2 linked regions of the Arabidopsis thaliana genome follow. The protein of the gene in region 1 purifies or fractionates together with the protein of each later gene. This does not show direct contact. Each region holds a gene or a part of one and is shown in the gene's direction. Other genes may lie near its edges.

Evidence for each region.
Region 2: the proteins of SR34a (region 1) and AT5G08565 fractionate together in Arabidopsis thaliana (co-fractionation; one large-scale study listed by BioGRID). This does not show direct contact.

The regions. Positions count from the first base shown.
Region 1 is NC_003074.8:18,329,424-18,335,784, forward strand, and holds SR34a (SER/ARG-rich protein 34A), read left to right. Parts: upstream 1-2,085; 5' UTR 2,086-2,289; exon of another isoform or gene 2,290-3,218; 5' UTR 3,219-3,244; coding exon 3,245-3,331; intron 3,332-3,450; coding exon 3,451-3,516; intron 3,517-3,594; coding exon 3,595-3,669; intron 3,670-3,823; coding exon 3,824-3,965; intron 3,966-4,048; coding exon 4,049-4,095; intron 4,096-4,179; coding exon 4,180-4,237; intron 4,238-4,373; coding exon 4,374-4,423; intron 4,424-4,506; coding exon 4,507-4,563; intron 4,564-4,793; coding exon 4,794-4,945; intron 4,946-5,034; coding exon 5,035-5,115; coding exon of another isoform or gene 5,116-5,194; exon of another isoform or gene 5,195-5,226; coding exon 5,227-5,293; intron 5,294-5,385; coding exon 5,386-5,406; 3' UTR 5,407-5,731; downstream 5,732-6,361. Other genes in the region: AT3G49420 (Got1/Sft2-like vescicle transport protein family), read left to right, coding at 432-462, 695-786, 887-967, 1,088-1,185, 1,268-1,349, 1,609-1,647; AT3G49440 (F-box associated ubiquitination effector family protein), read right to left, coding at 6,292-6,361. UniProt on the Arabidopsis thaliana protein: Probably involved in intron recognition and spliceosome assembly.
Region 2 is NC_003076.8:2,773,970-2,778,244, forward strand, and holds AT5G08565 (Transcription initiation Spt4-like protein), read left to right. Parts: upstream 1-1,928; 5' UTR 1,929-1,994; coding exon 1,995-2,084; intron 2,085-2,164; coding exon 2,165-2,256; intron 2,257-2,608; coding exon 2,609-2,664; intron 2,665-2,898; coding exon of another isoform or gene 2,899-2,954; coding exon 2,955-3,016; intron 3,017-3,134; coding exon 3,135-3,185; 3' UTR 3,186-3,505; downstream 3,506-4,275. UniProt on the Arabidopsis thaliana protein: May regulate transcription elongation by RNA polymerase II. May enhance transcriptional pausing at sites proximal to the promoter, which may in turn facilitate the assembly of an elongation competent RNA polymerase II complex.

The DNA.
Region 1 (6,361 bases):
GACCTCTCTCTCATCCTCCGAGTATTGTTGGCTTCAGACCAAATCTTCTCCGGCGCTGCGGCGTTTCCCCCGGTACGGAGTCATTCACCTCTCTCTTTTCTCTCTCGCGCTCCCTCTCTCTCTCTCTCTCTATCTCTGGCTCTTTTTGATTGTACAAGTATTGTTAGGATTATACGTTTGATTCTGTATGTAGCATCTGTCTAGTCGACGTCAAATCGATATTATGTTTCCAAATATTGATTGGTTACCAAAACTGATACGAGAATATTGAATCTCTATGGGCTATGTATGTATATCAGAGTCATGGCTAAGCCATGGGCACATTTTGTAAACACTAATGTTGTAGTTTCAACTTTCAATGGTCTAATTGCTGAACTTCGACATGTTTTTACCATGGCAGCAAAAGGTAGAAGTAGCTGATTACAGGAACAATGATGTCCTTTGAAATGAATGACCGGAAAAGTAAGTTCACATTGTGAGTTCTATAAATATTTTCTGCTATTGGAAGACATACCTGTTACTTAGTTATACTTAATTCTTCTTTTGCTTATCACGTTCTTGAGTTAGTAGATCATTCAATGTCATGTTGTTGTTCGGAACCCCATTTAGTTTCAGTATATCTTATTACCAGGTTACGAAGTTACTCATGCTGTACTTGGATATACTTAAACGTTTCTTATGTGATTTGAAACAGAAATCGGGTTAGGCCTGACAGGATTTGGCGTATTCTTCTCGTTTTTGGGAATAGTCTTCGTCTTTGATAAGGGATTACTTGCCATGGGAAATGTAAGTATCTCATGTATCTTTGTTTCTATACTTTGACCACTATTATTGCATACACGTACAGAACTAGTATGAGAGCTTGTTTCTTTTCATATTTTCTCAGATTCTTTTCATCTCGGGGGTTAGTCTAACCATTGGCTTCAAGTCTACCATGCAGTTCTTCATGAAGCGTCAAAATTATAAGGTTTGTTTCTGTCTTTGTCTACATTATCAATAGCTTGGGCCAGTCTCTGCTGGATTTTTACAGATTTCTACTTAATGTCATCTATGTGTGTTCATTTGGCTTTATATGTTATCCACTCAGGGAACCATCTCTTTTGGCGTCGGTTTCTTCTTTGTTATCATCGGGTGGCCTATCTTGGGAATGATGTTGGAGACCTATGGCTTTTTCGTACTCTTCAGGTACTTTTGCCTATTTTCTTCTTCTTTACTGGTATTGCTTGAGGAAATGTAAACTGATACTAAAAACGTTTTGCTTTTGCAGTGGCTTCTGGCCTACCTTGGCAGTCTTTGCTCAGAAGATACCCGTTCTGGGTTGGATTATTCAGCAACCATATATTAGATCGGTATGTGTCCAATTGCAAACAACTATAGCAAACTTTGCATGAAATTCTTAGATCTCGAATACAACACATACAAAACTCATAATGACTCCCAGTTTTGCCTTTCCAAATTACAGTTGATAATTCTCTCTTTGTTTCTGATGATCTTGAGTTGCTAGGCCTTTTCTCAGTTTGGCTTAACTTTAATAGTAATTCTGTTGCATAGTCTGCCAATTGTTGGCTAATGCGATTACTTTACACTTTTTTTTTATGTGATGTGTAGTTCTTTGACAAGTACCGGGGCAAGCGAGTGCCGGTCTAGTCTTCCATCCCGAGCAGAGAGACGATTCACTGAGCTAGATGCAGCTGAACAGGCGATTAAAGTTTTTGGAAGAAGAAGTTTCGTGATCCTGTAGAAAACTAAAACCATAGGAGAAAGAAAATAGGAAGGAAAAGAACGTACAATTTGAAGCTGTGTGTCTATGTTTCAGGTGAAGTAGATGAATCTTCGTCCAGGTTGCAAATTGCAACAGAATGTTAAAAATGTAATGTTTTATTTTTGGGTTAGTTATAGGTTACACCTCAATTTTGGAAACTAATTAAAGAGAAACAATTGTTTCTATTCACAAAAACTTTTTGTAACCATTACGCATTACATAATTTTAATCATATTGTTATTAACTTAATGGTTCTATTTGACCAAAAACAAAAACTTAGAGGTTATTTGACAAACAGATTACTTAAAGAGGGACCGAAAAATAAAAACACAAAAGAACTGAGTGAATCAACTAAAGGGTAATTCCGGTATTTCAGGAAAGTTTTAAGGACGACCCCTACTAATGGATAAAGTAGAAACCCTAGTTTGAATTTTCACGGCCGACCTCTCTCTCTCATCTACTAAGCTCTCCTCCGAGTATTGTTGGCTTCAGACCAAATCTTCTCCGGCGCTGTAGCGTTTCCCCCGGTACGGATTCATTCACCTCTCTCTCTCTATCGCTCTCCCTCTCTCTATCTCTATCTATCTGTTGTTTTCTCTGAATTTGGTTTCCGTGTTCTTATGAATTCGATGGTTTGGTGTTTCAATTTCGTTAATTTCACTGATAATTGTTGGTCTTTTGGCTCTCTTGAGGTGAATATACTTCGCTATGGTCGTGGGGGTAGTTTCCTTGACTTCAATTAGCTTTTTTATGTCGAATGTTCTTGAGTTGTTTAAGGTGATTTTTGATTAAATTCAGAAGGTCTTATGTTTGTTAGAATCTGTCTTTTATTCATTGTCCTTACTGAGGAAATTTTTTTACTTGCATTGAAAAGAAACATAATTTACCAAGAGGTTCTATGTAACGATGATTTGTGGGTCGATCTGTATTTTAAATAGTCGTTAAAAGTAGAATTTTTGTTGTATGTTTGAAAGGAATAATGGTTTGAGTAAGGAAGAAGAACAAGGTAGATGCATGAGTCTATGTTACATGATGTCATGACACATGCTTTCTTTATGATAGATGGCAAGAGCTTGGAACATGAGCATTGCAATGGTTCATAGGGATATAGAGAGGGATTGGGGAGATCAATGTGGATATTGTTTTTATTATTAATGGAGATTCATGGGAACGATCTGGAGAAATATATATATTTCAATATTTTAAATAGCTTTTGGAGCATATTGGAGCAAATAAGCATTTGGAGCTTGTGGAGCACTGCTCTGACCCAGGATTGCTCTCACTTGGTTTGCTTCATATATATTTTGGTCTTACCATGTTTTCTTTTTCTTTTCTTATCATCGTCTCATTTTGATGCTGGGGCTATGTCGAAAGCTGTTTGAGTGGAGGTTCTTTGTCTATAGCAGTAAATTTTGATCCTTTATTTATTTCGTTTCCTTTTTATTCTCATGTGCAGTTTCCCCTTTTTAACCTTTGCAAACAATGAGTGGGCGATTTTCTCGGTCAATCTATGTTGGTAACTTGCCCGGTGACATTAGGGAACATGAGATTGAAGATATCTTTTACAAGGTCAGTTTTTGGTTATTTGTTTGATTCAGTTACGGGTCCTCTCTTGAATCGTTATCCCTATAAGACAGTGAAGATTCTTGAGCATCTTTTGTATTCATATTTAATGCTCTTGTTTGCAGTATGGCCGCATTGTCGATATTGAATTGAAGGTTCCACCTCGGCCTCCATGTTATTGCTTTGTTGAGGTAAGTGTATTCGCTTACATTACATGTTCCTAACCAACTTTAAATTTCGCTGAACCAAGCTCTGTTGAATGTTTGTAGTTTGAGCATTCTCGGGATGCTGAAGATGCCATCAAGGGCCGTGATGGCTATAATTTGGATGGCTGTCGCTTGAGGGTAATCAGTTACTTCCTTGCTATTTTTTCAGCAGACAATATGGGCTTATGCTTCACATATCCTTACAGCAGAGTCTAAACTTTTCTGGCTGTTTTACATTACCTTGTGATGTTTCTTTTTATTTTTCAATAGTTTCTAATCATTATGAATGCAGGTTGAGCTTGCACATGGTGGTCGAGGACAGTCTTCAAGTGATCGTCGTGGTGGCTACGGTGGTGGTGGCAGCGGCTATGGTGGTGGAGGTGGTGGTGGTGGATCAGCTCGGTTTGGCGTCTCACGACACTCTGAATTCCGAGGTTTGTGTTTCTTGCTAGAAGTTGGTATTATTAAAATTTGGTTTCACTTCACTTCTTCTGATTCTTGGATGGCTATTTTGCAGTTATTGTACGTGGGCTCCCATCATCTGCTTCATGGCAAGATTTGAAGGTCTGATGACACTTAATGTTTTGCTGCAACATTTTGGTTTCTACTCCCTAGTCTTGTTTTTCATATAAAATCCATTTTTTTCAGGATCATATGCGGAAAGCTGGTGATGTGTGCTTTGCTGAGGTGACTCGAGACAGTGATGGTACGTTAATTTACAGTTTCTGATGCATACTTACTTAGCAATATATTTACTTTTTCAGCTTTGAGCAGAGTTTTGTTTGGGATATTATACTTACGTTTTTCTCCCACAACATGACTATTTATAATAATATGATCAGGAACTTATGGTGTTGTCGACTACACCAATTATGATGACATGAAGTATGCAGTAAGTGAACTCTGTGCGTCTCTCTTACTGTATTGCATGCTATGGTTTGTATAATTACTGATGTTCAATAGTTGTGATTTCAGATAAGGAAACTTGATGACACAGAGTTCAGAAACCCCTGGGCTAGAGGTTTTATCCGGGTACCATTTCTCTATGCAGTCTCTTCTTTTTTCCCTCTTTGACCATAATTAACAGATATTAGTTATCTCTCAAGTCTCTCAACATTTTACTTCGTTTGATGCTTCATTCTCTATCTTCCCATTCGTAAAACATCTATGACTTTTGTAGTCTCAATTGGTTAGGCTAATTTAAAATCATGATCTCACAAGTTTGTATTCATCTTATGTCTGTGTTTTCTGCTCATATGCAGGTTAAGAAATATGAAAGCTCCCGATCAAGAAGCAGAAGCCCAAGCAGAAGCAGAAGCAGAAGCAGAAGTCGAAGTCGTAGCCGAGGCCGTGGTCGCAGCCATAGCCGCAGTCGCAGCCTTAGCAGGAGCAAGAGCCCAAGGAAGGATCTGAGGTACTACGTTTGTTATCACTGAACCTTTGTATATCTCCCATTTTCAATACCTAAAAATGGAGTTGTGTGTTTACCAATCTTTATTGCAGTAAATCACCAAGGCGATCCCTTTCCAGATCGATTTCAAAATCTAGATCGCCATCGCCCGACAAGAAGAAGAGTCCCCCCAGGCAAGTCTTCTGCCCTTCTTTTGTGTTCTTTCTCTCAACCATCATGATACTTTTATTCGTTCTTTTATTTCTCCTGTGATTATTGTGACATGTTGCTTTTTACCAATTCAGGGCAATGTCGAGATCAAAGTCCAGGTCCAGGTCCAGATCGAGGTCTCCGTCCAAATCTCCTCCCAAGGTATAGAACTAAGCTGCCTGCGTTTTAGCATCATTTTACCAAGTTATAGGCAAAACACCAAACAGACCAATCTAAAAAAATCTTTTTCTCAGGTTCGCGAAGGCAGTGTGTGATTTTGTTAAGCGGTGAAAATGGCCAAAAGAAAGAGTGCGAAAAATTCTCAAGTCAAGATCCATTCTCTGTGTTTTTTTTTTTGCTGTTTTCGGATAATTGACATTTTCTGCTGTTCTCTGCTTCTTTACTCACAAATGATCATCTTTATACTATTATGACCTGTTATGTTATGGATGTTTCCGTGACCATCACAATACCTCTGAGTTTTGTATTGTTAGTCCTGTTCTTGTTTAAACCCTATGAAGTCTTAGCGAACCTGGATCTCTCATCTAAATTATCAAATATTTAACTGATTTGTATGAAATGGGCATAATATTAAAGAAATCAAATTAAAGTTAAGATATTTGACATGGTTTATAGACGGTCAAATGAGTTGTTTACCTAACAAGGTTCTTCCACAAAGTCGACAAAATTTATATATTTGACATGATCTGTTTGTCGGCATCTTTTAGTATTCCATCACAAACAAAAGTTGAGAATTAGGATGAAGTGCGCATTTCCTTGCATAAGTAGGGATACAACTTCAACATCTTAGGTATAATGTTAAAACATTTTTGTACAAACTTTTAGCTAATATGTATCTTTACAAGAAATATCAGAAGAGAAAATATATCTATCTTAATACGTATTTTTGGATAAATAGTGGCCATATATATAAGGTCCCCAACTTAGAAACGAAACAAGATGTTATAAATTCTTATGTAGCCCGGACCGGCTAAGAGAAAAGTGGGATCATGTACCCATTTAAAAAAAAAGTTTATCTCTTATACTATATGTATAGATTTGGGCCTTTTGTATAATTTTTGAAAAATAGGGCTATAATTGCTTAAAGAAATCTGACTAAAAAATAGGACCCTATTCAAAAGCACCCTTTGCACACCCTCTCAGCCGGCCTTGGTAGCCATAATCGCTTCCATAAGCCTCACATCTTCTATATGGTCAGTAAATGTAAAA
Region 2 (4,275 bases), on another chromosome or scaffold:
AAAGAATGGATTAACAAATTCCCATGTAGATCTAGTAGCAGGAGATAGTGACTATAGTAAGGAGATTAGCATTCAAACATCAAAAACAATTAGACAAGTGAATCAAACCCAATTGATCAAAACGACAAGTTAAATGCAATCGAAACAATCACCTCTGAATTGTTACACCGACGAAGCAAAAAAACAAAACAGTGAATCGAGATACGCACAATCATTTCAATCAAATTAGTCAGTAGCAAAACTACTCAATAAACACACAAAATTGACACAGTGCACCTACAAGAAGGATCCCCAAATAAGATTAGCAGTAACAAAAAAAACAAATCGTCAAAATCATCATCAAACTTAAATAGAAGAAGGATCACTTGGGGATGAAGATCAATTAACACGATCTAAGAAGGACAAAATCAAAAGGGAGAAAAATCCAATCTTACCAAATAAGAAGCAAAACCCAGATAAGGTTTGGCGATGGCAGAAGAAAGAGAAAGAGATAGTGATTAAGGAACAGCCCGGAAACAAAGGAGGGAAGGAAGACCGCTATAGAGATTTAGGAAGCGGTGAGGAGATGATAGAAAGAGAGAGAGAGAGCAAGTTCTGGAAAAGAGAAGCGTTAAAGAAGATGAAAAGGAGAGAGAGACTCAATAAGAAAGGCAAAACAAATATTATAAAAGAAGGCAATAGAAGAAGCAAAGGGCAGAGGCGTGGCTGATCACAGGCTACTCTCGATCTAATATATAGTCCCAACAAAATCTTATGCATTTTCCTTTACATTTACTCTATTTTCTTTTATCTTCACATTAATATTTCTGATACTTACTTAAAATACGTTAAAACGGTGTCGAATCAGCAGATCAAACGGAACAAGCGGAATAAATATAAGTTTTCGTTTATAGAAAACTAGTTTTGAAATGATTGTAGATAAACAAAACAGAAAAAAGTTAATTTCAATGATATCGGTAATGCTATTCTTCGAGGATTATTTGGTTGTGTTCAACAAGTAATTTAATCATATATATAGGCGGACTAGAGAAAGGAATGCTTTGAAAACAAATATTTGGTGCGGAAGGTATGTGATTTGGCAGAATTGTCTTGTGTTTTTAGATTGTGTTCAAATCTTATGTAACATAGGCCGCCTTTATACATCAATACGATGCCAAAGAAATGTCAAAGCAAATAATATATAGAAATCCAACTAAAAGCTTGGAAGAAACAAATATTAAGGGTTTCTTTTTAAAACCTTTATGCATTGTATTTGGTAGGTGAACTTTGAATGACAAAATATGTGACATGGTAAAAGATTTTTGATGGCGATACACGTTTGACGTTTACCTTAGTCCTTAAGCTGCATGTATTGGTTTAGGCTTTAGACGTTTAGTCTCGTGTTATCATACATATGTTATAATCCGATGCGTGGTGCAAAATCCGCATTAATTGACCGGAAATAGGAGAAAATGAGCTAGTAGGAAAAAAAAATGTTATCATCAGAAGTTTGTATATGAAAACCCGGAAAGAAAAAAGCTTCTCCAAAGACTGGTCCGCCACGTATGACGTATCGTTTGTGATTCCGTTGGTAGAATCGTAATGCAAAATTATCCAAACACGACAAAGACGATACACACGAATTTGCTTGAACAATAATAAACAAGGTTCTTTGAAGAAAAGAAAGTAATAAACTATGCACGGCACTAGGAGTAGAAATGATTGAAACCCTTTAACAAATTGAACTCATCTTGTTGCCGAAGTTATACAGATAACGTATGGAATATGAATGGGTTTGCGATTATTAGTTTATTGGACTTTCAGGCCCTTTTTAGAGAAAATTAGTTTCCTCCTCCCGAAATAGTCCTGCATTATGGACCACATTATGGGCCCATATTGAGGCCCACCTTAATGGTACTTATATACTATTTTGTACGGAACTGATTGATAGACATTAGACACGGAGACATTGTTGTCGTTCTTCGCAGACATTTCGATTTTGAAGACAAATCACAATGGGAGAAGCGCCTGCCCAGATTCCGACGAGTTTCGGCCACGAGCTTAGGGCTTGTCTTCGATGCCGCCTCGTCAAGACCTACGATCAGGTCTGGATTCTCTTGTCACTTGTGATTTGCGTGTTTCTTCTCTTGCGAATATTTTTTGCCTAATCTGGTTTCTCCAACAGTTTAGGGATTCTGGATGCGAGAACTGTCCTTTCTTCAAAATAGAAGACGATCATGAACGCATCGTCGATGTTACAACTCCCAACTTCAATGGGTATGGCTTAAATTCGAATCCTTACTTTGAAAATTTACATGGCACTGTTCATAAGTCTGTCTCTCGTACTTGTCGTTACATTGAAATTTCTGAACCTAGTCTATACTTATGATTAAATCGTATAGTCTATACTTATTGAGAAGACTTATTGTTGGTCGCTAATCTCTCGTTTTTTTGTTGAATGAGTCGTTGCAAATTGTGAAATCACTGTGGTGGATATGACCATAAAGTTTGCTGCTTTACGTTAAAATGAGTTAATAGTAACAGAGATGATGCTAGTGTTGATTATACTTGTCATTTGTTGATGTCACGTCCATGTAATTATGTATTGATATAATGAATGTTTTTGCAGTATAATCTCTATGATGGATCCACGCAGAAGTTGGGCAGCAAGATGGTTAAGAATTGGTATGTTTCAGCTCTGTTTCCTGATCATCCTCATTGTCTTTTAGAGTTTACTATACTGTGTAGCTTCTTCTTTCCGTTTCCTGTTATTCTTGTCTCACCATTATACTTTATAAATGGGGATATTAGTGCTGAATTTAACTGTGTTGTCTGCATCCATTTGAGCGGTAGCTGCATTCTGATTTGCTGTGTGTTTATGGCTTGATGACCTGATGTTGTATTCCCTAATATTGCCAGCTTTGTTTCAGACAGAAGAGAAATAAATCTAACACATTGCAATATCTTGTTTCCAGGGAAGTTTGCTCCTGGTTGCTACACTCTTGCTGTCTCAGAGGCACTCCCAGAGGAAATGCAGGTAAACATATTTACTTCTCTTAGAAACCTAAGAAGGGATTAATAAGCAAATCCTTAGCTCTGTTTTCGTATTGACTGTTCGTCTTTTTCACATGTATGTGGCGGAAATCCGCTGGCAGTTCATATGCCAACAAGCACGGGTGCAGTACGTTCCACCCAAACGTATTTGAAACCTTTTGCAGGTTGCAGCAAGTGTCTCCATATTAGCATCTCTGCAAGTCGTCAGTTTCAAGACAACTTAGTCCGATGGAGGTTATGAATGGAAGTAGTTAAGTTTTATGTACTTTGTTTCTGATTTCAACTAATATAGAGAGATTTGATCCTCTTATTGTTATCAAAAACTCTTATTTGATCCGGAAGATAGAGATAGATTACATTTTTTTTTTCAAGTATGGAATGGATTTCTTTTCCTGTGATATTCAGTACATTATTTGAATTACAAAATGAAGAAACTTTAAATTGAGCACCTAGCAGAAATGTGTGGTACCAATAATTCACAGAAAAAATGTCAACTACGCAGTTGATAGAAGAAGTGGCTCCTTAATCAGGCCAAGAGGGAAACAAGGAGAGATATTTATTGGTTTTTGGAATATGACCATTGAAATTCCCAAAGAACCGAAGAAAACTATGGGAAAATGTATAAAATGCCTGTCTTTATACCAAAAAAATATAAGACCCACAAATTCATGGATACAAAGTACAAACAAACAAATTATACACAAGAATCATCTTCCGATCCAAGGTATATTCTTCTGCTAGAGTAAATCATGGACGTAACATGCATAATTAACAATGGTTACTTAACAACAAGTAGTAATGAAAAATTGAAGACGTTCAGTCTATTTGGGCAAGAGGCAAATATTAATTTTCGTTACTATACGTTTATTTTCTTGGCAATTTAGTTTAATTTTGTTTAGGTCAAAGGCAATTTATTTTGTTATTAAAAAGATAAATTAGATTTTTTTAGAAAATAGCCTTTCTATATTAATTTTAAATTCGAGTTCACGTGGCGGTCGCTACCAAACTTCGCTAAACTTTAGTGCTTTACTCCAAAACCCAGAGTCCATCACACAAGTCCAAGCCCGAAAACAAGGGTTCTTGCTCCGACACGACAACAAATCCAGATTTTGAGCTTAGGTAAACTCCTAACTCCCCTTATACTCTCTTCTTATTCAATCTACCTTGTTTCTATGCCTTGAATCCAATTCCCAGACACTCTGGTTGCTTGTAATCTATGTTCGGTTGAGAGTGAATCTGTGT